Linked DNA regions of Macaca fascicularis. The protein of the gene in region 7 purifies or fractionates together with the protein of the main gene of each other region. This does not show direct contact. Links are inferred from orthologs where the notes say so. Each region holds a gene or a part of one and is shown on either strand. Other genes may lie near its edges. The genes, in order: TAF15, HDAC2, SMAD1, MTA2, DDX3X, SP3 and EP300.

What was found.
Region 1: the proteins of EP300 (region 7) and TAF15 purify together in Homo sapiens (affinity purification with mass spectrometry; 3 studies listed by BioGRID and IntAct, with this or other methods). This does not show direct contact. The link is inferred for Macaca fascicularis from reciprocal best matches to the Homo sapiens genes EP300 and TAF15.
Region 2: the proteins of EP300 (region 7) and HDAC2 purify together in Homo sapiens (affinity purification with mass spectrometry; 4 studies listed by BioGRID, with this or other methods). This does not show direct contact. The link is inferred for Macaca fascicularis from reciprocal best matches to the Homo sapiens genes EP300 and HDAC2.
Region 3: the proteins of EP300 (region 7) and SMAD1 purify together in Homo sapiens (affinity purification with western blotting; 5 studies listed by BioGRID). This does not show direct contact. The link is inferred for Macaca fascicularis from reciprocal best matches to the Homo sapiens genes EP300 and SMAD1.
Region 4: the proteins of EP300 (region 7) and MTA2 purify together in Homo sapiens (affinity purification with mass spectrometry, with the first as the bait; 3 studies listed by BioGRID). This does not show direct contact. The link is inferred for Macaca fascicularis from reciprocal best matches to the Homo sapiens genes EP300 and MTA2.
Region 5: the proteins of EP300 (region 7) and DDX3X purify together in Homo sapiens (affinity purification with mass spectrometry; 3 studies listed by BioGRID, with this or other methods). This does not show direct contact. The link is inferred for Macaca fascicularis from reciprocal best matches to the Homo sapiens genes EP300 and DDX3X.
Region 6: the proteins of EP300 (region 7) and SP3 purify together in Homo sapiens (affinity purification with western blotting; 4 studies listed by BioGRID, with this or other methods). This does not show direct contact. The link is inferred for Macaca fascicularis from reciprocal best matches to the Homo sapiens genes EP300 and SP3.

The regions. Positions count from the first base shown.
Region 1 is NC_088390.1:42,128,215-42,131,714, forward strand, and holds part of TAF15 (TATA-binding protein-associated factor 2N), read left to right. Parts: intron 1-892; coding exon 893-1,013; intron 1,014-3,500. UniProt on the Homo sapiens protein: RNA and ssDNA-binding protein that may play specific roles during transcription initiation at distinct promoters. Binds to ssRNA containing the consensus sequence 5'-AGGUAA-3'. Can enter the preinitiation complex together with the RNA polymerase II (Pol II).
Region 2 is NC_088378.1:17,988,119-17,991,618, forward strand, and holds part of HDAC2 (histone deacetylase 2), read right to left. Parts: intron 2,237-3,500; coding exon 2,144-2,236; intron 2,067-2,143; coding exon 1,958-2,066; intron 1-1,957. UniProt on the Homo sapiens protein: Histone deacetylase that catalyzes the deacetylation of lysine residues on the N-terminal part of the core histones (H2A, H2B, H3 and H4).
Region 3 is NC_088379.1:150,367,580-150,371,570, reverse strand, and holds the start of SMAD1 (mothers against decapentaplegic homolog 1), read right to left. Parts: upstream 2,801-3,991; 5' UTR 2,744-2,800; intron 2,640-2,743; exon of another isoform or gene 2,442-2,639; intron 1,702-2,441; exon of another isoform or gene 1,301-1,701; intron 1-1,300. UniProt on the Homo sapiens protein: Transcriptional modulator that plays a role in various cellular processes, including embryonic development, cell differentiation, and tissue homeostasis.
Region 4 is NC_088388.1:11,457,002-11,461,141, reverse strand, and holds the start of MTA2 (metastasis-associated protein MTA2), read right to left. Parts: upstream 2,801-4,140; 5' UTR 2,386-2,800; coding exon 2,358-2,385; intron 1,622-2,357; coding exon 1,554-1,621; intron 1,186-1,553; coding exon 1,092-1,185; intron 1-1,091. Other genes in the region: EML3 (echinoderm microtubule-associated protein-like 3), read right to left, coding at 3,409-3,612, 3,693-3,823, 4,091-4,140. UniProt on the Homo sapiens protein: May function as a transcriptional coregulator. Acts as a component of the histone deacetylase NuRD complex which participates in the remodeling of chromatin.
Region 5 is NC_088395.1:41,348,695-41,352,194, reverse strand, and holds the end of DDX3X (ATP-dependent RNA helicase DDX3X), read right to left. Parts: coding exon 3,450-3,500; intron 3,148-3,449; coding exon 3,008-3,147; intron 2,821-3,007; coding exon 2,741-2,820; 3' UTR 239-2,740; downstream 1-238. UniProt on the Homo sapiens protein: Multifunctional ATP-dependent RNA helicase. The ATPase activity can be stimulated by various ribo-and deoxynucleic acids indicative for a relaxed substrate specificity.
Region 6 is NC_088386.1:69,481,362-69,484,861, forward strand, and holds part of SP3 (transcription factor Sp3), read right to left. Parts: intron 288-3,500; coding exon 1-287. UniProt on the Homo sapiens protein: Transcriptional factor that can act as an activator or repressor depending on isoform and/or post-translational modifications. Binds to GT and GC boxes promoter elements. Competes with SP1 for the GC-box promoters.
Region 7 is NC_088384.1:10,463,487-10,466,986, reverse strand, and holds part of EP300 (histone acetyltransferase p300), read left to right. Parts: intron 1-1,410; coding exon 1,411-1,590; intron 1,591-1,780; coding exon 1,781-1,925; intron 1,926-3,500. UniProt on the Homo sapiens protein: Functions as a histone acetyltransferase and regulates transcription via chromatin remodeling. Acetylates all four core histones in nucleosomes. Histone acetylation gives an epigenetic tag for transcriptional activation.

The DNA.
Region 1 (3,500 bases), on a different chromosome or scaffold from region 7:
TTTTGTCTCAGTGAACTCTGATCCTTTGACAATACTGCTGGTACCAGTTCTTTTGGTGTTGGTGGTGTACTTGATTTGGGGCACTTATTTTTGTACCTTTAAGGCCTAGTACATGGTTTGGTTCATAACAAGTGCTCAGTAAACATTTGTTGAATAATTGAATGAATAAGTGAATGAATAAAAGTGGAAGCACATTCACTAATAATCTTCTCTCAGTTTGAAGATTCAGTTATTCCTTGTCCATGCTCAATTTACATTTAAACGTTTCCAAAGTGAAGAAAGAAGTAACTTTTAAGATTGGGGGGCCGGGTGCGGTGGCTCACACCTGTAATCCCAGCACTTTGGGAGGCCAAGGGGGGTGGATCACAAAGTCAGGAGATCGAGACCATCCTGGCTAACATGGTGAAACCCCGTCTCTGCTGAAAATACAAAACACAATTAGCCGGGCGTGGTGGCGGACGTCTGTAGTCCCAGCTACTTGGGAGACTGAGGCAGGAGGATGGTGTAAACCCAGTAGGCGGAACTTGCAGTGAGCCGAGATCGCACCACTGCACTCCCGCCTGGGCTACAGAGCGAGACTGCATCTCAGAAAAAAAAAAAAAAGATTGGTGCTTTTCATCTAAGTTACTAAGGTTCTTGTAGCTAAGATTGTATTTTAACTCATACTGTTCCACATTGCTGTTTTGCCATATCACTTTAGCAGAATGGAATTTGACACAGATATAATTCTGAAAAACGTAATTCCAGATGATTTTATGATGACTTGCATTTGAGTTGTGTGCGCATGTGCCATTTTCTATAAGGATATGTGTGGCCTAAAGAGCCATTTATGATTATTTGAAGCCTTAGAAATGAGAGTGGTTATTTGTGTGTAATATTTTCTTTTTTGTAGATGACCGTCGTGATGTGAGTAGGTATGGAGAAGATAATAGAGGATATGGCGGGTCACAGGGAGGAGGTAGAGGGCGTGGGGGATATGACAAGGATGGAAGAGGTCCTATGACAGGATCAAGGTAAGTATATAGATAAAGATACCTACATTTTTTCTTATTCCTCTTTTGTTTTTGGTGTTACTTAGCTGGATCAATTCCAGCATCTAATTTAGTTAAGAGACTTAAAAAAGGGATTATGTATTGGAGAAAAAGGCAGAAATTAAAACTGTATTTTCAGTGTTAAGATCTCACATAAATGACCTTAGAATTGGCTATGTTAGCAGTTAGTTTATGTGGTACATGTTAAACACTAGTAGAGAAACAACTATGGTTGTGATTAACCACTTGACTTTCCTGCCAGAGCTAGAATCTAAACTCCTTTAAAAGACAACTCTGGGAAATCCAGTGTTTGTATGTAAAAATAAAAGGTAAGTTAATTCTAGATTGAAGGGCAAGGGCTATTTCTTAATCTCAAATCTCCTTGGGAAGGGAAAGTATTAGGAGGCAGTAATGGAGTAGAAAGGTGGGGATGGCGAGTAAGAGAAAGATTTAATGTAACGAAACTGTTTTGTCCCTCCTCTTAAGTAAATAATTATTGGAATAATTAGTGTAACATCACATAGTAATGTGTATTTTGTCTTGACTAAGTTGTGTAAAGGAATGTCTTTCTAATTCAGCTTTTCTTTTCTCCATGCTAGTGTTACCAGGTTTTGGTATTTATTTACTTACAGCATATGTTATGAAGCTGGTTTTAAAATTGGTTTTAGATACATCTGTAAGTTTACTACTTTGACCATAAAAACAAAAATGAAAAAGTAGTTGACATCTGTCCTCAGAAGAAGTTTGCAGGTTGCATATTTGTGTGTAAATACACAGGCTAAAAGGTAATTTATGTTCCTTGGGAATTGAAATGGTCAGTGGCCTGTTGCTGAAACTTATCAGTCATATATCAGCACCGGTTCATTCTTTTGCACCTTAGGGACCATCTGTCCCCTGAGGTGACCTGAGAAACAACCAGTTGCCCACAGACTGTTATTTCTTCAAGCCAGGATTTGATTTCACTGCCTTGTATTTCTCTATTTTTAGTGTACAGTGGTTTGATTTTATGGAAAACCTAAATTTTAAACATATTTGAAAAATGTTATAAGACTTGGACATTAAGTCTGTTGATTGATAGCCAAAGTCAGTTTACCAAAGTAAAACAAGTAGATTCTATGCCTCTTCATTGTCGAAGAGCAGTCTGCCATCATGTGGATATGAATGGACAATGTAAAGTGACATGGTACTTACTCTCTACCTAATAATAGCCTCCGTCCTATCCCAAACAAGATAACCAACAGGTATATTTAATTTACCAGTTAATATGTTTTGGATAATTGGCTGCCTTGAAATGCTTTATGTTTTATAGTATATCATAGCTTTAGTTTTCTTCATAAGGAAATTACAGTTATATCCTAATCGATTATTAAACTATCACTGTGTCTAAGAATGGAAGAAAAAGATAGGGAATAGGTAGGGAAGTCATTATAAATATATTTTCATTGGCCGGGCATGGTGACTCACGCCTGTAATCCCAGCACTTTGGGAGGCCAAGGCGGGCGGATCACGAGGTCAGGATATCAAGACCATCCTGGCTAACACGGTGAAATACTAAAATACAAAAAATTAGCCAGATGTGGTGGCGGGCACCTGTAGTCGTAGTCCCAGCTACTCAGGAGGCTGAGGCAGGAGAATGGCGTGAACCCGGGAGGCGGAACCTGCAGTGAGCTGAGATCGCGCCACTGCACTCCAGCTTGAGTGACAGAGCGAGACTGCGTCTCAAAAAAAAAATTTTTTTTTAATGTATTTTCATTTGTGACTCATCTTGTGACTAGAAGGTTGAAAGGACTTTGAATGATCCTCCTGACAAAGAAGGGAAGGAGTACCTTAACCAACTGTGGGGTCCAATTAAGTACTTTTATAAACCCCTGGCAACATACTTCATATAATTTGTAGCCTAGATACTGACTTATAAACTAAGTTTTTTATTTTCGTTTAATACCCCTTCATACAAAATCATATGCAGAAGTCCAGTATGTAGTTGGTCAAAATGATGCTGATCTGGTTTCAGTGGGGGGAAAGATTGGCTGAGGAAGGGATCTGCAGTCTTGCCTTATACTCTGTTATTTGTTGAGATGTTCATGAAAGGCCTGTTTTAGAAATCCATGTGGATGCCGATTACTCTTACATTGAGTTGGCAAACTGTGTGAAAGGCCAGATAGTAAATGTTTTGGGTTTTGTAAACCATATGGTTTCTGTTGTAACTTCATTTCTGCCCTTGGAGCACCAGAGCGGCCGTAAATAATAGGTAAATGAATAAACAGGATTGTGTTCCAGTAAAGCTTCATTTATGGGTACTGAAATTTGAAGTTCATATAATTTTTTTTTTTTTTGAGATGAAGTCTCGCTCTGCTGCCCAGGCTGGAGTGCAGTGGCACCATCTCAGCTTACTGCAGCCTCCACCTCCGAGGTTCAAGCAATCCTCCTGTCTCACCCTCCTGAGTAGCTGGGACTACAGGCATATGCCAC
Region 2 (3,500 bases), on a different chromosome or scaffold from region 7:
CCACTGCACTCCAGCCTGGGCGACAGAGCGAGACTCCGTCTCAAAAAAAAAACAAAAAAAACAAAAAAAAAAAGAAAAAGCTGAATCAAAGCTGGCAGTAGAGAAACTCAGAATGAAGTTTAACACTTGGGAATTACAAATATCCTTACATGCTTTATACAACTGAAACACTATTAGCTGAAATACAACGTTAATTTTTCTCTAAGAGTGAAATGATTATAAAAACTATTAAGTACAAAAACATTAAGGACTTTCATGTCTAACAGGAAAACTGATAGTTAATACACACTCTTAAGAGTACATCAGGTAGATCGTTTTAGAAAGTTTATAGGCCGGGCGCGGTGGCTCAAGCCTGTACTCCCAGCACTTTGGGAGGCTGAGACAGGCGGATCACGAGGTCAGGAGATCGAGACCATCCTGGCTAACACGGGGAAACCCCGTCTCTACTGAAAAATACAAAAAACTAGCCGGGCGAGGTGGTGGGCGCCTGTAGTCCCAGCTACTCGGTAGGCTGAGGCAGGAGAATGGCGTGAACCCAGGAGGCGGAGCTTGCAGTGAGCTGAGATCCAGCCACTGCACTCCAGCCTGGGCGGCAGAGCGAGACTCCGTCTCATAAAAAAAAAAAAAAAAAAAAAGAAAGTTTATAAACATTTTGAGGCAAAAGATGGTTATTAACACATTAAGTTACATGCTGTTCAACCACTGCTGACCTACAAAGGGACAATTAATTTAATATCATTTAACTTAATGTAGAATAACAGACTATACCATAATTCTAATACAGCTGGTATAGTAGCAATCGTAACATTAAGTAAAGAAGCTTTTAATATCTGTATTTAGTTATCCAATTCCATTAAGACCAGCAGTTGTTCTGGAGAAAGTTCTATCTGAGAATTCTCTACATCTTAGAGAATACAAAGCAGAGTATCAACTTGCTACCTAAAAGTTCACATGGAAAAAAACCTCTAAAATCATACACAAACACTCATGATAAAAATCATTTCTAACCAACAAATAAATTTTAAGATCTTATTAAATTTCAGATTTATTCTTACACCCTAGAAGTTCATTCCAGAATGGTGATATTTTGCTTTGGCCTAGACTTCCATCATATGCTGACTTCAACACGTGATCAAAATTTAGTATGTACTGCAGCACTCCTAATCTCCCACACACTTTTTATCAGGAAGCTACTTGAGAAGGCGCTCCACGAAAACATGAGAAAAAAATTAACGACAGAGAATAGAGCCACCAGGAAGAACCAATACAATAGAAAAAAAGCAGAGAACAGCTATATGTCCCGCCAGGTCTACCAAAGAGAGTCATCCAAACATGAACAGATGAGAAGGCTGTTTTTCAAGAAGGTAAAAGTGACAGAATACTCAATGGATCTGAACATATGGAGATACTGAGACACCAGTAGTTTAGCAATAAGTGGAGAGAAAACTAAGCAAATGTGAAACTTAGGAACAATTATTCGGCAAAGAAAACTTGGATAAGCTGAAAAGTGTTTAAAGATGCTGCTGTAAACACTAAATGTCACAACCAAATTCTGATTTGTAAAAAATAGAGATGTGGGAAGGGTTACAAGTATGCTGTGGGCAAAGTGGTGAGGAGAGCTAAACCCTCTTCTTCCTTAATGAGAATAATCCAATTAAGTAATAAAGTATGCATTGTTTTATTGACACTGAGTCAACAAAAACATTCGAAAATAGCTGCCTTGGGTTCAAACTACAATAAACTAAAAAACTAGTCATATATAAATGTACATATAAATCTGCCACAATGTAACAAGAATAACTCTAGTCATATATACAACAGACAAAACCCCAGGAAAAATGCAGAGTATAGTGTTAAAACAGCAGGCAAGAAATTACAATGAGAACTTTTATGGGAAGTTCTTAGGTGGAAGAAAAATCATTTTTTTTCTGGGAATACCACCCTTTGAATTGCTTACCTTTCACTGTTAGATTGAAACAACCCAGTCTATCACCAGATAATGAGTCTGCACCACACTGTAATACCACAGCACTAGGTTGATACATCTCCATCACCTTTGAGATAATCTACACACAAGATAACAAATGTTAGCATCTCCAATAACATTCTGAAATTCCATTCCAATTTTGAAAACAATACTTACAGGCTTAAATATCTGCCCATATGACTCATCATCTATACCATCTCTCATTGGAAAATTGACAGCATAGTATTTGCCTTTTCCAGCACCAATATCCTAAAATACATAAACAGATCTTAGAGAATATTCTATAACAAAAAGTTTGACATTTGCTTACTACATTTTGAAAAGACTAAAAGACTATTAAGGATCCAATTTTGAATTCATCTTAGAAGTTGAGACCGGAACAATCAAATTGAGAAAGGAAATAATAAAGAACAAATAAGTATATGCTCCAATATTTATAAACTGATTGTAAAGCACACAAGAACCATTTTCAATTAATCTGTAGTGATTATTTTTGAGAGAAAAGAAATTTAACACAAGCAGTTAAAGGCAATGAAATTACATTATTACCTTAAACCAGAAAATCCATCATAAGCAGAATATGTAAGATGGCAAGGCAACTTTATGAGTAAACCTGTGGAAAATAAATGAAGCCAAAAAACCCTGCAGGACAATCATCCGCACAATCCTTCTTGTGGTTCACAATCTGTTGGTATGAGTTTACTTATGATGAAAGAACGACCCAGACTTTCTCGAAGATTTAACAGCTACCAACTAAAGCACCAGATTTGTTCTTTTTTTTTTTTTGAGACGGAGTTTTGCTCTTGCTGCCCAGGCTAGAGGTGCAATGGCACGATCTTGGCTCACTGCAACCTCTGCCTCCCAGGTTCAAGCAATTCTCCTGCCTCAGCCTCCCAAACAGCTGGGATTACAGGCGTGCGCCACCATGCCCGACTAATTTTGTATTTTTAGTAGAGACAGGGTTTCTCCATGTTTGTCAGGCTGGTCTCAAACTCCTGGACCTCAGATGATCCGCCCACCTCGGCCTCCCAAAGTGCTGGGATTACAGGTGTGAGCCATGGCGCCCAGCATCAGAGTTGTTCTTTAATTGGACTTCAAATAAATTTTGTTTCTACTGGTTGAATGAGTATCACTCCAGGCATTAATCTCTCTCAAAAGACACAAAGGTTCCAGCTACATATACTCTTAAATGATATATACACGTATTATATATACTTATTTGTATATGTTATGCATTTGTATGTGTGCGTATGCATTTGTGTGTTATGTATTCCTAGAAGATACTGTATAGTACAGATATTACTATAAACTAGTATTTTAACTGCAATACCAAAGGATTAGGAGCGTGCCACCCTTTTTCTTCTTTTTTTTTGATGGAGTCCTGCTCTGTCACCCAGGCTGGAGTGCAGTGGCGTGATCTCGCCTCACTGCACTCCAGTGAGCCAAGATCGCCTCCTCGGTTCAAGCAATTGTCCTGTCTCAGCTTCCCAAGTTGCTGGGACTACAGGTGCAT
Region 3 (3,991 bases), on a different chromosome or scaffold from region 7:
TTTAATTATGATGACTGAACTAATAGGCTGACATCATAGACTTTTACAGGCTGACCCCATGTCATCCTGATGTATCATTTTGCACCAGTTCAGTGCTGTAAATCAATTTAAGATCTCAAGCAGGTTGAAAAGGCTGGTAATGATGCTTTCTCTGCTGTCTCTGGAGACTCTACATTATACCCAACTTACATTATTTATAAAGCCTCAGTGATGCCTCCATTAGCCTTGTAAGACTACACAAATGAGATCTTTTATACACACACACACTTGGCCTTGATTATGTAGGCTACTGCAGCTTAAACATGCTTGTCTAATTACACCCAAGTTACTTCTTTTTCCAATCCACTAAGTTATTAGATTTTATCTTTAACCCAGAATTGCTAGAAATCAAAATTACAAAGTGAAATTTAGTTTTTAACTAATAAATGTAATCAACGTAGTTGAGAAAATGTGACTTACTTCCTCTTAATGCCTTAATGAACTTAGTAGAAATAAAATTAAATTCCAAGAAGTGTAAGACGTCAATGTCTCTAATTGCCTAAAAACTGTCATTTTTCTAAAACACAAAGGTCATCAGCTCTTCAAGGATATGAAATCAAAGGATACTGCAAGGGGTAAAATGTATTTGGTTACATACCTATGGTTGTAGGGGTCAAAACTAAATCAAGGACAAATCCCTACCCTCAGAAGAAACCTGATCCTGCCTGGATCCTCTAGAGGCTCTGGCATCACCCATCTTCAGAAAAATCATCTCTCACGACCCTAGTTACACTTTCCTAAGAACTGCAGTATTACACCAATGATACACCACCTGCACAGAAATATCAAATAACTGCAAATAGGAAAGAGAGTGGGAGAGGGCAGAACAAACACTTTAATCAGTACAGCATATTTAGATCTGGCACCTACATCAGAATAACACTGATGCAACAATATTTACACCAATTGAAAATGCTGGGGCAGTGAACACTTCTGCCCCGATTCTTCTTTAATACAGCTCACCCACCTTCAGTACAATTTAAAGTAATTACAAACAAGATGAAAAATCAACATGGGCAGGGAACAGTTTTCTCATTGTGTTACCGAGGTGTGGGCAAGTTATCCACAACAGACAATTAGACCCAGAGATGTTCTGAAATAAAGGCATTCTGAGATTTAGCCGCTGAGAGTTGCAGCAACAGGAAGACATAACAGAAATCATGCAACTTCTTTATCATTCCACGTACTTTGAAACTTCAGATACAATGGAAAGAAAAGAGGGGGGAGGGCAGAGAAAAAGGACAGTTGTCTCAGCACTCACGAAAACGATGCTTTCTCAGGAGATGGTTGAGACCGGCCTCAATTTTCAGAAGGAACGAGCCTTTACTGGTTATCTTGCACCGTGTATTTAAAAATTGCATGCGCTTCAAAATAAACAAAAGCTCAGCTACTGTAGTTGTGAGATCTGGCAGGCATTTGTTCCTCCTCCCCTCCTAAAGCACATCAAGGAAACGTTCTCCCTTTAAAGCCTTCATACAGCTTCAGCAACTAGAAAAACAAGCCCACGTCTGTCTCTCACGCCCACCACCCCCACCTTCCTACAGAAACAACCCCGAGAAACACTAACAAAGACAGAGAGCAGAGTAAAGGAACAGTTGTTCAACCGCGAACTCACGAATACACATGCAGTGAGGCAATCGACTCCGGTAAAGGGAAAGGAATGAGACACCAGGAGACGCAGCGGGTGTAGGCGGAAGAGGGGGAAAAAATTACGCGCCGCCGCCAAACCTTTGAATAAATTAGAGGGGATTTCGGTGCGAACTTTCCTTGACCTCGACCCCAAAGAGGCTCGCTGGGGCCGAGAAGGAAACCCGTGCGGGATGTGGAGGGGCCCGGGCCGCCGGGGTCCCCCGCCCGCGAGACCCGCTCCACCAGGCGCCTTGGAGGGCAGCGCAGGCGGTCGTCCTCCAGCTCCCTCAGGAGTCGCCCCGCCGGCGCGGGGGACACAATGGGTCCGCGGGCCGCGCGAACGGGCCTCGGCCCGGCTGCCGCACGGGAGAGATGTGAGGAGCGCGCGGAGGGGGAGCGCGGCCGGGGAGGTCCCAGCGCGGTCGGGCCCGAGGGCCGAGGCTTGGGGGCCCGGGAACTGGGCTTCCCACGGCAGACGACCCAACAAAGACACCAGGGGTGCCCGGCGGGCTGGGCACGAGAAGAAGACGCGGTGGCAGGTTCGCTCCTCAGAGCGGCAGGGAGGCGCCATCATGGGGGGTGGGGGGTTCGCGGCCCGCCCGGCGCAGAAAGAGCCCCCTCCCCGCCGCCGCCCGCGCCCCCAGCCCAGCACGACCGCGGTGGCCCCACGCGTGCAGAGGCGACGGCGGCGGCGCTGGAAAGCCTGGGGCGCCGAGGGGAGGGCGGCGACGCGGCATGAAGGGAAAGTTGGGTTTGGGTCTGTTTCGTTTTACCGGGTTAGCGGCGCGCCAGTCCGCGCGGGCGCACGAGTGGCCGGGCGAGCGGGGTCCCGCGGCCCGGGTCTGGCCGGCCGGGCGCTGCGCCGCGCTCCGCTCCCAGGGTCCCTCCCCGAGCCTCGGCCCGGGTTGAGCCGTTCGGCCTCTCCTTTCTCCGCCCGCCCGCCTGCTCTCTCCTGGAGCCTGGATTGATCTGGTCGCGCTGGCGTCAGGGAGTCGGAGCCGCCCAGCCTCCACTCCTCGGCTGCCAATACCCGGCGCACTCGCCTGCCCGCCCGCCCGCTCGCTCACACGCTCACCCGCTCACCCGCGCGCCGCCGCCGCTGCCGCGCGACCAGGGATCCTCTCCAAATTCCCGGCCCGACCGGCGTGAGCGCAGCACGGCCGGGGCCGGAGGACGGCGCGGGGGAGCGGCCGGAGCCACCCCCTTCTACCCGCAGCCCCACGTCCCGTTTATTCCTGGAGAAAAAACAGTGTCGCGGAGTTCAGGCTTTCCTAACCCTGCCTTTTTAGTCCCGGTGGAGTGGACTTGGTCCATTATCTGCAAGTGAATTTCGATACTCCATGTTTTTATTTTCTGAAATGTTCATTAATGCTTCCACCGCGCCCACCGAATCGTTCTATAAACGTGGAGTGCCTGTTGACAGTTATCCTTGGAGACGCGCCCTTTTATGTCTAGTTTTCGTTGCCCCTCACGCACTCTCCAATAATTTGCACGCCCCAGAAGTTGTACGTACCCAGAATTGGATAGCCTAGTAACTACTGCACGTGCTTATACAAACCCTGAGTCAACAGATGCGTTTTATGTCAACTCAGGATCCAGTGATTCGAGTAGGTAACCTTGTTGCTCTAAATGACATGCCACAAGGAGATACTGCTTTAACACTCCACATTTTTGGTCCAATTTTTACAGTCTTTTAGATGATGCCAACTCCTTCGCACTTAACTCTTACCAACCTGATCTGCATAGACACTGAAAATATCTTCTAAGAGTCAACTTTTCTCTTGGCTAACTCTTGAAACTGCATAAAATCTTGGATAATTACTATAATGTTGAGTTACAGTTAGACAAGAATGATTTTTTTGAGGAATAAATTTCACATGAAGCAAAAAAATAAAAATAAAAAATAAAAAATAAAAAAAATCACTCCCAGCAGTCAGAATATGCCTTCTAATTAAATTCCTTTTTCCCTTAACCTATTTGAGCACTTACTGGTCAATTCGTGGGCCTCATCTTATTTTCCCTAAAAGCAGCGTTTGACGCAGTTGATCATCCTTTGCTCCTTAGAACAACAGGAAAGTGAACCTTGTTAAATGCCACTCAGATCAGGCCACTCCCCTATTGAAAACCCTCCCTTGATAAATAGTATAAAGTATCCCATACAAGAGAACATTATTCAGCCATAAAAAGAAATGAAGTACTGATACTGATGCATGCTACATGGATAACCTTTCAAAACATGTGAAGTGGAAGAAGACAGACCACACGTTGTATTCTTCCACATATGTGAAATGCTCAGAGTAGGCAAGGCTATGGAGACAGAAAG
Region 4 (4,140 bases), on a different chromosome or scaffold from region 7:
AGCCCTAACTATCCCTCATTCTCTACTTGGCTAATAATAGTTCCTAGGGTTTTCAAGGACAACACCTCTCAAGCTAGTGCCAACATCTTCCTCCTGAAAGAGCTGCAGCTTGCCCTGAAACCTAGTGGAAGGGGTTAATCTGGCTAGGCGCCAACCAAAGTGGGAGGGGGCAGAAAAGCCTCAGGCCCAGGCTCATTGGTGCATTGTTCCCAACCTCAGGGAGAAGGGGGGGTTGTGCAGTAGGCTCCACCCCTCGCTTGTGTGCTCCGGAAACCCTGTGCTAAGGCAAGGGGGACCACACCCCCAACACCCCTTCTGATTGGACAAGGCCAAGGTCAGCCCCTGCCAGATGGGGCTGGAAACCCTAAAGGGCCAGGGAACTTGGTTAGCCAGGATCCTCTTTAACCCCTTCTCACCCAGAGCAGTCTGAAAAAGGAAAATGATTTAGAAAGGTGGAACAAAAGGAAGGAAAAAGAAAACCAAAGCAGGAAAGGAAAAAGAAGCTAAGAAAATATTTTTTTTTTTAAAAAAGAAAATGAGACCTTAAAGAGGATGAAAATAGAGCAAAATGAAAAGGGAAAGATGTAAAATGGGGGGTGGCAGGTGGGGAAATGGGCAAGGTGAGAAATTAAAAAGTGCAAGAAAACTTCCAGCCATCTTCTAACTTCCAGGTATTCTCACCACCTTGTGATTACAAAATAAGGCTGCTTCTGTTATGCGGGCTTCTCAGTACAATCTCTTCCTCTTCACCTTGACCTTCAGTCACCACCTACTGTCCCAGTGTACCCCAAACTGCCCCCCTTTAGAAAAGCATTCTGTTTCTCTAAACCCCGTCTTCATCCCCTAAATAAACCGTATCGTCTCTCTCCTACTCTCATACACAAACCATATCATGGCTTTCCTTATCACAATCTCTCCACCCTGCTTCCAACCCCAACGTGTAAAAACAGGTCTCCCTCCTCAGGCCAGGCATTTCCCACCCTCAAACTCACACCTCTGCCTTGGGCATGCTACCAGGGGAAATACCTGCAGGGACATGCGCAGGCCTCAGATCATGGGGAGGGGGAAAAGAAAGGGATGAAGATACTCACTGGCATTACTATCAGCCAAGCTGTTGAGGCTACTAGAAATGTCCCTGCGCCGGAAAAGACAGACGACCTTTGCCTCCACATTTCCATTTGCAGTCTAAGGGGAGGAAAAAAACAAAAACAGAAACAAAACAACGTAGCAGTGAAAATTGATCATCTGGGAACAGAAATACACAAAGAGACAAATAACAGTAAGTTTCGGAGGGACCTAAATTAAAAAGCCCAAGAAAATATGAGTAAATACTTACATTCAAGGACAGACTTCCAAATCCCTTTCCTTTGCCCCCAAGAGACAGAATAGTAAAGTTCCTGCTAAGCTCTCAATAGCCTTTCCTGAATACATCCAATTAATGAATGAATGAATATGAATGGGTACTTAGTATAGGGTCCTCTCTTCCACCTGAAGTTAGAAACCTCAGAAGAGACCACTGGGGGAGGGAGGGAGAGGGATTCTGCTCCACTCACCTTGTTGAGTTCCTCAATCCGTCTAACCAGGTAAGGATTGCTGGAGGAGTTCTCAAAATAGACGTAATCTGTAAGGGAAGGGAGGGGCGAGAACCACGAAGATCAGAGGAGATGGGAGAGACGCAGAGCACCACAGTAGGAGAGAAAGTTGGCCTGAGTGGATCAAAAGAAGATAAGGATTCAGGCAGAGAGCGCGCTGAGATGTGAAAGTGTAAAGACTAAGAGAAAATAAGGATGTCCCCCACCCCCACCGCACCTAGTTCTAAAATCAGATCCATTACTCAAAAGTGAGCCTTAAGGAACAGGCAAGAAGCAGGGGTTCCCCTGCAGTCCCCACAACTCAGCAACGAGTTGCACCTCAGTCGCGGCGAAGTAATTGTTCGCTCTAGCGCAGGGCCCCCACCTTTTCGAACTGAGGCGCACAATAACGCCTGGGAAGAGGAAACCTCCGGGCGGCTCCTCCGCGGTGGCAAAGCCGTCGCCCCAGCCCCTCGCGTTCCCTCCCCACCCTGTCAGCTCCTTCGGAACCGGTTTCCGAAGCCCACTCCGTGCCCCGAGGAGCCCCCGACGCAGCCCTGAAAGTGCCGTCGGGGCTGCCCGCAGCTTCTCTCCAGGAGTCTCGGCGCCCTGCCGCGTCGCGGTTTCCCGCACCCTAGCTCCTCGTCTCCCGGTTCCGGTTCCGGTCCGCGCTCCGGTCCATGCCGCCCCATACGCTGCGCCTCGCGCCACCCGGTGCCGAGCCCCTCCGGTCCCGACCCCAACCTCTCCCGCCCCGGACCCTGTACCCCTGCGCCCGGTACTCACCTCCCACCCGGTACATGTTGGCCGCCATGGCCGTTCCCGCCGCCGCCTCCGGCCGCACAAAGGGGTCCGGGAGGCTCGCGGGGGCAGGGCTCGGCTAGAGGCAAAGCCCTGAACGGTGGGCTGGCGCTTCGAGGGAGTCTCACTGGGGCCCGCGCAGCCGTCACCTCCGCTGCCTCAGCCGTCGCGGTTCATCCCGGCCCGCGCTATCGCCGCCGCAGCTATCGCCTCACTCCCGGGACGCTGAGGCTGGCCCCGGTCCGCTCGGCTTCTTCCGGAACGAGCTCGGCTCCTGCCAGGCGAGAGCCAGGCTGCAGCTGCCCCCACCCCCGCCGAGTCCCACTAGTCGTTGGGCTCTGCCGGCCGCAGGGAAGGCTTGCCCGGCCCGCCTCAGGGTTCGCCTCCTTCCGGAACACCTTCGGCCGATCCGGAGAACAAGGCCCACTGCTCGGCTCAGGTCGGAGAGCGAGACCCCGCAGATCGGCTACTTCCGGAAGAAGTTCGGCTCCTGTCGGCCAATCGCTCGGCTATTTCCGTTGCAGCTCGGCACCCCCCCACCCCTTTTTCCGAGGGCGGGAGAGGAGTGGGGCTTAACTCTGTCCTAGCTGGAGCCCTGCAGCTCCTCCTCCCGCCCCGAAGACTCGCGCGCCTTAGCGCTTCGCCAGGTTATTTGCAAGCGGCTTTGCCTGTTATTTGCATAAATGGTCTACGCTCCCTTGCCCTTTCCGCACGCCTCTTTTCCTTCGTCCCCACCCCACAGGGCCCCGGAGGCACCCAGCAGCGCCCCACAAAAGCACCGGGAGGCGACTTTGGTTCTGGTTTATTGCCCCTCAGCAGGCAGCGGGAGTCAAGGCCTAGGTTGGGGCTGCCCGGCTCAACCAGCGGGTCTAAACAGTGTGTGCAGGGGCGCCGTTCGCGCCCTCCAGGGAAATGCACCGTCGGGAATGTTTCGAAGTCAGTCGAGGAAAGAGTCGGCCCCTGGTCGTGGGGGATTAGGGCGGGGCAGAGCGGGGCGGGGCCACGCCGCCAGGCCAGTAGGTCCCGCCGGCAGCGATCAAACGTCGAGGGAGGAGGCGGGGGACAGGGAGGGGGTTCGAGAGGGCGTGGCAGGCGCCGGCCCCGCGCCCCCAGCGCCCAGCACTCGCCACTGGAAGATGCTGGCGTCCTTGCCGCCCAGCGAGACGAGGTGCGAGTCGTCGTGCGTGAACCGGACGCTGGTCACGTGGCTGCCGTGGCCCCCGTACATGCGGCTCGGCGCCTGGGCGGGAGGGAAGAGTTGCAGTGGCGGCGGAGCCCTCGGGCCCACCCGTCCCACCCCGGCGGCCCCCGCGGCCTCACCTTGGCACGAGCGCACGGGTACTGGAATAGATGCACTTTGCAGAAGTCGTCGGCCACCGCCACCACGCGCTCGTTGTGGGAGCGGCACAGGGAGTTGATGTCGGTCCCATCGGAGCCGTCCGGCCACACGCCTAGCACAGTGGCCGGCCTCAGCCCGACCTCCTACCCACCGCCACCCACGGCCCAGAGCTACACCGTTTCAGGCGCTCCGGCAGCCGCAGCCACCCACTGTCGCGTTCCAGGAAAGCCTTCCCGGTCCCGAGGGCCGGAGGGGCCTCCTGGGCTGGATCTTCAGGTTTCTGGACTCTCACCCAATGACACACGCCCAGCGTTCCGAGCCCAAACTGGGCTCCACCTTGTCCCCCACCCCTCCAGCAGGGTTCCACGCCCCTGCTCACCGTAGACGTGGAAACCCAGCACACAGGTGTAGGTAGCCCATTCCCGGTCT
Region 5 (3,500 bases), on a different chromosome or scaffold from region 7:
TGTACATCAGTAAGGGCCTTTTAGATTTCCATCTATTACAAAAATTCTGTTTCACTGTATTTCAAGCTAACATCTTCATCTTTCATTGCAAATACTTATGAGAGTCATTCTGTATCCAAGAGGCATCTCAAAAAACAGCACTGGATGACAACCAAAAAAATAACATTTTACAATTTTTCAGGCAAGAGCACTTTATTTTCACCTCTGAAAATAAACCACAATTGACAACAACAAAGGAGACTGTGCAGTTCAACTTTTTATTTTAATAAAATCAGAATATGCACAGCACATGCAGTGCTAGCATCTAAACTAATACAATAAGCAATTACTAAAGCTACAGTGACTTGAGGTTCAATCTTTACATTCAGCAAGTTTAAATCCTTACATGATTTTTGAAACCTTATTAACTGAAAATATTGCTTGCTGATAAAACTTGCTCAAATGCTATTGCTGAATGTACAAGTCACTGATTATGCCAATACAACAAAGATAACCACATGTTTGAGGATTGCAATGTGCCAGACATTCACTGAAAAAAAAAACAAACAAAAAAAAACACACAACTAAACAAAATTCACACAACAAACATCTGAGATTCTGGACACTTCACATCAGTGTTTTGAAGTGTTTCATTAATATCTTAAGACAAGTGTATCAAAACCTTGGCATGATTTAATTTCAAGTCGCCAATTTTGTTTTTACTAACATCAGAAAGTTATGGCTACACTGCCAACGCCGGGTCTGCTTAATTTGACTTAAGAGTTTAATATGACTTAACATTAAAAGCTCACACTACCCCGAAATATATAATTTCACGCATACGGTGACATTCAACATTCAAGTGCCAGTGTTTTTGTACTGTCTTTTGGTCAAGTTTCTTTAAACTTTCAAAGAATCACTTTTAGGCTTACAAAAATAAATATTTGTCAAAATGTTCAATAAATATTACATAAAACTAGCAGCAAAAAGTATCTAGAAATCTGTCGTGTGCAAATAGTTTTCTTCTCAACTATCATTCCCATGGTCCCAAATAAATTTTAGAATCTAGTCCCATCCCCTTCCTAGACAAGCTGCGTTCAACAATCTCCAAGAGACAAAGTAAGATTGGAAGTTTAAGGACACGCACACAAGACATATATATAAAATTCTCTGAATGTGCAATAAAAGAAGTACTTTGTAAAAAGTTATGGGCAAAATGTACAAGGGCCTAAACCTAGACTAATTGAAATAGCACCATAACAAATGACCTCAATACTGTCAAGTGCACCTACTTAATAAAAGTTTTAGAACAAGGCACAATACACTTGAAAATCTATTGCACTTTAGGAAATTTTTGCCGTCTTCCTATGCCACTGTAAAAAGATGGAGCGTTTTCATCACTGCATTCTGGCCACAAAATTAGCACAGAATTCAAAGTGGCAGAGGCATTTTAGTGGTGGACAATGCTCATCTTTGGCCAGATTTAGCATAAACAGACTATAAATACAATGGAAACCTATGCAACTAAAACTGACTAAAACTGCACTGTAGAGCAGAATTGACACCTTGTGCAGTTATGTACATATTTCCAACCTGTGTGATCTCAAAGATTTCAGTTTGTTACTCTTCTGGAGCCATTTTACAAAGTCTATAGTAAGCCAGTTTAACATCTCAACGCAGCTTGAACAGAGTAATGTGAATCGGCATTTAAAATAAAGCCTGCTGCATTTAATTCTTCCTGTTCATACCCTCTTGACCAAAAAACATCAACACTAGCATGCGTTATTAGACCAAAAATCATCCAAGGCCCTAATGAGGGCTGGTCATTGCTGTGGTCAGCCATTCTACCATTTCAATTTCATTTATGGCAGGCATTTAAAAAGTCTAAGTAGATGAATTCTCCTAAAAACCTATTTCAAGTTATCAGACCTTTAAACTTTCCCTGTAATAGTATGCCCACATTTGGCTAGCTCATTAATTAATGATCTGCCTAAACGTTGAAAGAGGAATTGCTGTATTTACTTGCATTAACTTTGAAAACAGTGCTTTGAATGTATGCATGTATTCATACATCACCTTATCATGACTGGAATGGCTTAAAGACTATCAGGTTCTAAATACCTATCCAGGATAGAGTGAGCAAATCAGAACTTTAACTTAATACAGTTTGCCACATTAGAAACTAATTCCATTAATATGCTTCAAGACATTTGTTGTTTGTTTTCCCCCAATCTGCAAGTATCAAAAAGCCCTAATGCAGGCTACCGCATAAGTTTTTCCTTATATTATTTATGGATGAATCGATGATTCCTGTTAAGTTGTATCACACCTGTGTGCCAAGGTTTGATTTTAGCCCAAGTTCAGTAAATTTATTTTGTCAAAACAATTGATATCTTGAGCATTACTGAGCCAACAGGACATCAAAATAAAAAGTTGTCTAAAGTTAAAGGCACAGTACATTAACAAACAAATGATCCTCAGTCACAAAATTATAAATGCAGTTTGGGATGGGGATAGGCGGGAGGGGAGTTAATCCAAACTACAGCAATGAAGTCTTCAAACCACCTTCTGAACAGGGCTGCTGATTGTTACTTTCATTTCTTCTTGTGACCTTGAGCTCCCTTAAAAAAAAAATTTCAGTGGAGAATCACAGCTGGTAATGTACTGCGAGTTCTTGAAGCTACACAAGGTATAGTCTGGCTAAGTTACATGTGGTTTCCATATTAGCTTGTTTGGCAGGGTGACCTACTGCAAAGCAGGCTCAGTTACCCCACCAGTCAACCCCCTGGGAGTTATAATTTCCTCCATATCCATCACTGTTGTAAAAGCCTCCATAGCCACCTAATGAGAGATTTAAAAGAGAGATAAATTAATGAAGTTATCCATCATTAAATACAATCCTTCCCTTAAGTACTTTGCCATCAAGTTTCTATAGTGCTGATCTTAAATGGTTTAATTAGACTTTGAAAAAGATGACTAAACGGAAAAAAACCCTTCCCAAAGCTATGAAGTTACAGATTAACACTACCTCCACCGAATCCTCTGCTGCTACCGTGGCCACCTCCGCCACTGCGGCTGCTGCTTGCACGGCTGCTGCTGAAGCTGGAACTGCTGGCACCACTACTTTGTCGGTAGTCTCTGGCACCAAACCCTCCACTAAATCTGCTACTATAAGAAAAAATTTATGTTGGTTCACATGAAGATGAAATTCCACTGAAGTAACCTAACTCTTACATACTTCCCAATGACCAATTTCTATTTTTCCATTCAAACAATTCCCCATCCAGCCATATTTTCCCCAACATTAGAATGGAGTGTCATCCATTCTAATACAACCCCTTACCAAAGAATCTAGAAAGCCTAAGATGATTCAGCTTTTTAAATACTGTGAAGTTAACGCTGGACATCATGCATGCAGAGGAAACACTAGAAACTGTAAGTCAACACCTATTACACCATATATACCTCACCTCTTAGAACGTCCACGACTGCTACCCTTGTAGTGGTGTTCATAAGCCATG
Region 6 (3,500 bases), on a different chromosome or scaffold from region 7:
GTGAAACCAATTTGAACCTGCTGACCATCTGTTGACTGGATCTGTGGTATCACTTGATACTGAACATTGGACACTGTACCATTTGATGAATCTGATCCTGGTGCAACGGAAAATATTTGTTGATTCTGCAAATTCTGAAGGGGAAGAACATACTGCCCACTTGAAGTAGCAGCACTTGGAATCTGTACTAGATTACCAGCTTCATCTTTTATAGTTGTAGGTGTGGCTGACAAAACCTCCCATCGGTTTGGTGCTCCTCCTAACTGTGCAGAAGCCAAATCACCTGTCTGGATGAAGAAAACAAAAATGTGATGTATTTGTGGTATATTTAAACCAACTCTCAAAAAATTCTAATAACTGGTATAAATCCTACTACCTGAAAATTCAACTTATCTTAAAACACAATAGGGTTCAAATACAGTAGCAGTACTATATGAACTACAATTATCACTTCTGGTTTTGTTATTGCAAAGACAATTCATCCTATTTGAGTGGGACAGAAAAAATTCTCAGAATGTTCATCACAACCACAGACCAATCTTCTAATCCTGCATCTATGATCTCTAACACTACATAGTTAAAACACAAAACACAACAGTGGAGATAGCTATGACTAAATTAGGTCCATTATATTTGTGTATAAAAAGGAAACATTAGCAAAGTGTGTTAAGTCATCCGAGTTAGAAAAGATTTATTATTGCTATAAACCTAAAACCAAACAATGAAATCTACTCTTTTGTGGCATCTATTAACATACTCTGAAGTAAACTCATTGCTAGAGCTATTCCATTAAGCTATCAAACTCTTTACTTTTTCCATGAACTATTGAAAAATAAAGATGTTAAAAAAACTGAATGAGAAAAAGTCATTGCCCTGTGACTACATGACAACATAGCCCCATTTGAAAGGTTTTTCTAGAATCAGAAGCTGGAGCATACACACTGTGACTTTACCTACTACTGTAAGTTTTCAGTAGAATGCCTGGCATATATCTTTTGTATTCTGGTATATGCCTGGCATTCTTCTGCGAACTTAGAATAGTAGGTAAAGCCACAGTCTGTATGCTTCTGGACCTACTAGCAGCTCAGTTACCATCCCCATAGTTTATGGATTAGGCAAGATTGGAAAAAATCCAATGTAGAAAAACAGAAAGAAATAAAACCCTACATGTCAACGTCCAAGAGTAGATTTTCTTAAGGGAATAATAGCAATAATGTCTAACATTTAAGGTTTTCTTTTATATGCCAGTACTATGAGAAGGGTTTACAGAATTATGTAATTTACTCCTTAAAATAATCCTATGAGATAGGTATTATCCCTATTTCACAGCTGAGAAAATTGAGGGACAAAAATCACATGGCTATCAAATAGGTAAGACAGGATTTAAAACTAGGCTAAGCTTAACTCCAAAACCCAGGCCCTTAAACACCAGATCATGTTTGTGTCATTCCTACCCCCAAGACCAATGGCAAAGATAGGGAATAAGACCTATGTAATTTATCATCAAAATAAAGTCATCCTTCTCCTACTTCCTTCTAGATCTACCTGTGAGTTCAGTAACTCCATATATCATTAGACAATGGGAACATAAGCATATCTAGCCCAGCACTGGAAGCCCTTTAAAACAGCATGCCAACTTTCTGACAAAGTACTAATACAATTTGAGGGAGAGAAAGATAATCTAGGGTTTCATTATATTCTCAGTGAGAATCTATGACCAAAAAATCAGTTAAGACATACACAGTTATCTCAACATAAACCATTCCATATAACTTAATGCAAATAAGATATACAAAAAAAATCGTAAGTTTCTTAAAGAAACTCACTACCTAATTTTCATGAAGACATAGTTGAGAAGTATATACAGTTAGTTATTTCAGTGGATGAACCACAGTTAAATGACTAAATTCAAATATTTGAAAGTAATTTACCAAGATGAAATACACATGTGAGTAAACCCATGACATACAATCCCAATCTTCAAATGGTTCACTGTCAATCCAAGCAGACATACACACATCCATGCTAATACAATGTGAAAAGTAGCACAGACTAGTCATATGATCAAAACACTCTGTGGAAGATACAAGATTGAAAAAAGATTTCATATAGATATATTTTAAAGTAGTATTAGAATATAAGATTTCCCTGTAGTGAGTTAAAAAAAGAGGCACTAATAAAGGCACAGAAACAATAAAATCACAGACAAAAAGAAACCCTAAAAAATAATATGAAGTTTGAAATTGAAGAAAAGATCCCAAAAAGGCTCATATTCATAAAGGAAAACAATGGGGAACAGGACTAGACATTTTTATCAAGGCTTGCAAATGGTTTCACAGATCCCACTAAATTGTTTGGACTTTATCCTGTAGATAGCGAGTGAAAGCTATAAAAGGTTTATAAGCAAGTGAGTGGTGCAATCACATCTGTGTTTTATAAAGATAAACTAAGACTCAGTGAAGGAGACTGAAAAGAAAGGGAGGAGACACTAAAGGCTGAGAAATTGTGGAACCCAATACAAATCTCTAGGCCTGAACTAAAATAGTGATCTGTCTTAAATACACTCAAATTGTACTTACTAAACAATTTTAAAACGAAGCATCAGACATTAAAGTCACATGTCACTCTGCAACTTCTATCTGGTATAGAAATTACAATGTTAAGTCACCTTTCCTAACATTACAGTGACGAATGTTTCATTTCAGTCTCTTGGCATTTTGAGTCAACCACAAATATTTAAACCTATATACTAAAATCTAAAGGGTGTCTAAAATCCAATCTTTATCTTCTTAAGGTTACTGCTCACCTGGAGGATCCACTGAAATTTTTTCTGACCAGCATAAAATTTACAAGTATTGAGCTTTTATCAAAGAATATAGTAACTCAGACACAAATTAGTTTTACAATACTGGCATTATGTCCCCTTTACTTTCTTTTAAAAAAAGTCAAATTTACAGCATGTAACTTTTTTTTTTTTAACAAAATAGTAATAAAGACAGATATTCAACCATCATTGAACAGCTTTCTAATCAAGAAATTCCTTGAAAATAAATACAGCTACTCAAATGACAAATCTGAGTAAATACTGCCCAAGTCATCCCCTCTCCAGAAGCTAGATAAAAATAAACTGTAGTGCCATTTTTCCCAGCAAGTCAGGCCATTAATTGAAGGAAAATCTCTAAACCTAGAGCAAAGTGATGTATTCTGAATTTCTCTGCATAAGCCTGAAATGAAAACCATATATTAAAATACCTGTGAAGCACAATGATGGGGAAAAAAAAAAACCCAACAGGTAATTTAAGGAAAATAAGCAAGAAAAGGGACTTTTTCAATATAATAAATTTGCAGTTGTAAAAAATTTGCTAACTACCCTATTTTCTAAATGGAATGGAAAAAACACACTCAATCAGAAAACTACTAGATTAATTATGCCAAAACTACACTCGACAAATAATATATTACACTAGAAAAAAAAGAGCTCAGAACTAAGTTCTAGTTCT
Region 7 (3,500 bases):
CAAATTCTTATCTAATAGTTGAATCCTTATTAATATAACTTTTTTTAAGGGTTTAGAAGCTTCTACTTTGATATCGATACTAATATATTCTCAGTCACGTTGATGAACTGAGAAGTCCCATGAGTCACAGCCATTTTATAAAGTACTGTACTTGATGGACAACTGGTTCATCGTGGCCTCTGATAGACAAGGAGGGACAGAATGAGAGAGGAACCAGTGGATCTGCTTGATTTTATTCTTTATAAAATCAAAGTAGTTCCAGAAAATACTGACTTCTCATTAGGAGGTTTCTTATGACAAGCCTTAGGGAAAAGACAGAGAATGCCAGTTATCTCATTAGAATCTAGTGATTCCAAACAGCCACCCTGTGGGACATCATTATATTTATTGTCTCCTTTTCTGTATCTTTGAAATTTTCTCTGGTGAGAAGGTAAAAACAAAAAAGATAGCCAGTCTTGGCCGGGCGTGGTGGCTCAAGCCTGTAATCCCAGCACTTTGGGAAGCCGAGACGGGCGGATCACGAGGTCAGGAGTTCGAGACCATCCTGGCTAACACGGTGAAACCCCGTCTCTACTAAAAAATACAAAAAAAAACTAGCCGGGGCCGGGCGCGGTGGCTCAAGTCTGTAATCCCAGCACTTTGGGAGGCCGAGACGGGCGGATCACGAGGTCAGGAGATCAAGACCATCCTGGCTAACATGGTGAAACCCCGTCTCTACTAAAAAAATACAAAAAAAACTAGCCGGGCGAGATGGCGGGCGCCTATAGTCCCAGCTACTCGGGAGGCTGAGGCAGGAGAATGGCGTAAACCCGGGAGGTGAAGCTTGCAGTGAGCTGAGATCTGGCCACTGTACTCCAGCCTGGGCAACAGAGCGAGACTCCGTCTCAAAAAAAAAACCAGCCGGACGAGGTGGCAGGCGCCTGTAGTCCCGGCTACTCGGGAGGCTGAGGCAGGAGAATGGCGTAAAAACCCGGGAGGCGGAGCTTGCAGTGAGCTGAGATCCGGCCACTGCACTCCACCCTGGGCGACACAGCGAGACTCCGTCTCAAAAAAAAAAAAAAAAAAAGATAGCCAGTCTTTATTATTTTCTTTCACTCGCTTCTGTATAAATGTGAGCTCCTCTGAAGCAGACATCTTTGAAATCCCCACACACTGCCAGATAATGATAGTTATCAATGAAATAGTTGCTGGCTCTTTGATGTACAACCAGTATTTACAAGTCTTAATTCTCCTGTTCTTAAGTATAATTAAAGGAGGTGAAATGGGCAGAGCAAATGAAAACACCGTGAATGAATATAAGCCAAGAAATAGGTGGCTAATTCTGCTGTCTTGTTGCTTACCTTACATTCTGATTGTATCATTGGCAAACACTGTGTGTGTGTCACCCACTCCCCTTGTTTTTCTGCCCAGCTTTCCCAGCCAGCTGTAAGCATTGAAGGACAGGTGTCAAACCCTCCATCTACTAGTAGCACAGAAGTGAATTCTCAGGCCATTCCTGAGAAGCAGCCTTCCCAGGAAGTGAAGATGGAGGCCAAAATGGAAGTGGATCAACCAGAACCAGCAGATACTCAACCGGAGGATATTTCAGAGGTGAGAGAGTAGGGCAATTACTGTTTGATTTGGTTAGGACCCCAGTCTAGGAACCCAGTTTTTAAAAAATATTACAGAAAAATACTTTGATAATTAGATCTCATGGCATAGATTTTGCATGAGAAAGGATGTTCAGACTACTGATTCCCAACTAGATATCTTTGGAATACTAAAAACTCTTACCTTTTAGTCTAAAGTGGAAGACTGTAAAATGGAACCTACAGAAACAGAAGAGAGAAGCACTGAGTTAAAAACTGAAATAAAAGAGGAGGAAGATCAGCCAAGTACTTCAGCTACCCAGTCATCTCCAGCTCCAGGACAGTCAAAGAAAAAGAGTGAGTCTCTTAAACCGTTTGTTCTGGAGATAACATGAAGAAACCAAAAACCCAGGGCAGAATTGCAATCATGCCTCTTAGGCCTCAGAAGTTGCCATTAATGTGATTTCATTAACCTTGAAGCCCTGGGCCTGGTCTCTTCATTGTTATTAATAATTTTTCTTTCTTCCTTTCTTTATTTTTTAATATTCACTTGCAGCAACCAATGAGTTAGTCGTTCCCCTCATTTCTTCAGGGTTCCGTGTGTTAGTATCCCCTAAAAATTTTCTTATTTTTCAAGAGAGAAATGTTTGTAAATAGCCTTGACTAAAATGCAGGAAAGAATAGCAATAATAATAGTATTTGTCATTCACCTCCTGTGTGCTGAGTACCCACATTGTCTCATTTAATAATTTCTTTCTTTGTCTTTTTTTTTTTTTTTTTTGTTGGATTCGGAGTCTCGCTGCATCGCCAGGCTGGAGTGCAGTGGCACGATCTCAGCTCACTGCAAGCTCCACCTCCCAGGTTCACGCCATTCTCCTGCCTCAGCCTTCCGAGTAGCTGGGACTACAGGCGCCCGTCACCACGCCCGGCTAATTTTTTTTGAATTTTTAGTAGAGACAGGGTTTCACTGTGTTAGCCAGGATGGTTTCGATCTCCTGATCTCGTGATCCCCCTGTCTCGGCCTCCCAATAGTGCTGGGATTACAGGCGTGAGCCACCGCGCCCTGCCTTTTTTTTTTTTTTTTGAGGCGGAGTCTCGCTCTGTCACCCAGGAGGGAGTGCGGTGGCACGATCTCGGCTCATTGCAAGCTCTGCCTCCTGGGTTCATGCCATTCTCCTGCCTCAGTCTTCTGAGTAGTTGGGATTACAGGCGCCCGCCACCACGCCCAGCTAATTTTTTATATTTTTGGTAAAGATGGGGTTTCACTGTGTTAGCCAGGATGGTCTCCATCTCCTGACCTCGTGATCCGCCTGCCTCAGCCTCCCAGGGTGCTGGGATTACAGGCATGAGCCACCATGCCCAGCCGTCTCTTAAACTTAAACCTAACATTCGTCATTAAAATAGTACGTGTCTCTTTTTCTTTGGGTCTAAAATACCAAGCAGTTTAATGAAGGAGTCTTCTGTTGTGTGCCCCTGACTCCTTGTAGTATAAGACAATACCAGATCTAGTCTAGTCCCTGACTTGTTAAATACTGATGTCATGAAGAAAGACTTTTCCTTTCTTGCTTGACTGCATCTCCCTCTAAACATGAGTATCTTGTATCTTGTGAACCCTTTTTTTTTTTTGGAGATGGAGTCTCACTCTGTTGTCCAGGCTGGAGTGCAGTGGCGCGATCTCGGCTCACTGCAACATCTGCCTCCCGAGTTTAAGCAATTCTCTTGCCTCAGCCTCCTGAGTAACAGACTAGCGCACCACCACATCCAGCTAACTTTTTGTATTTTTAGTAGAGATGAGGTTTCACCAGGTTGGCCAGGCTGAAACTCCTGACCTCAAAGTGATCCGTCCACCTCAGCCTCCCAAAGTGCTGGGATTATAGACGCAAGCCACTGTGCTTGGTCCCGTGGACTGTCCCATTTGGCAGTCTCTTCATA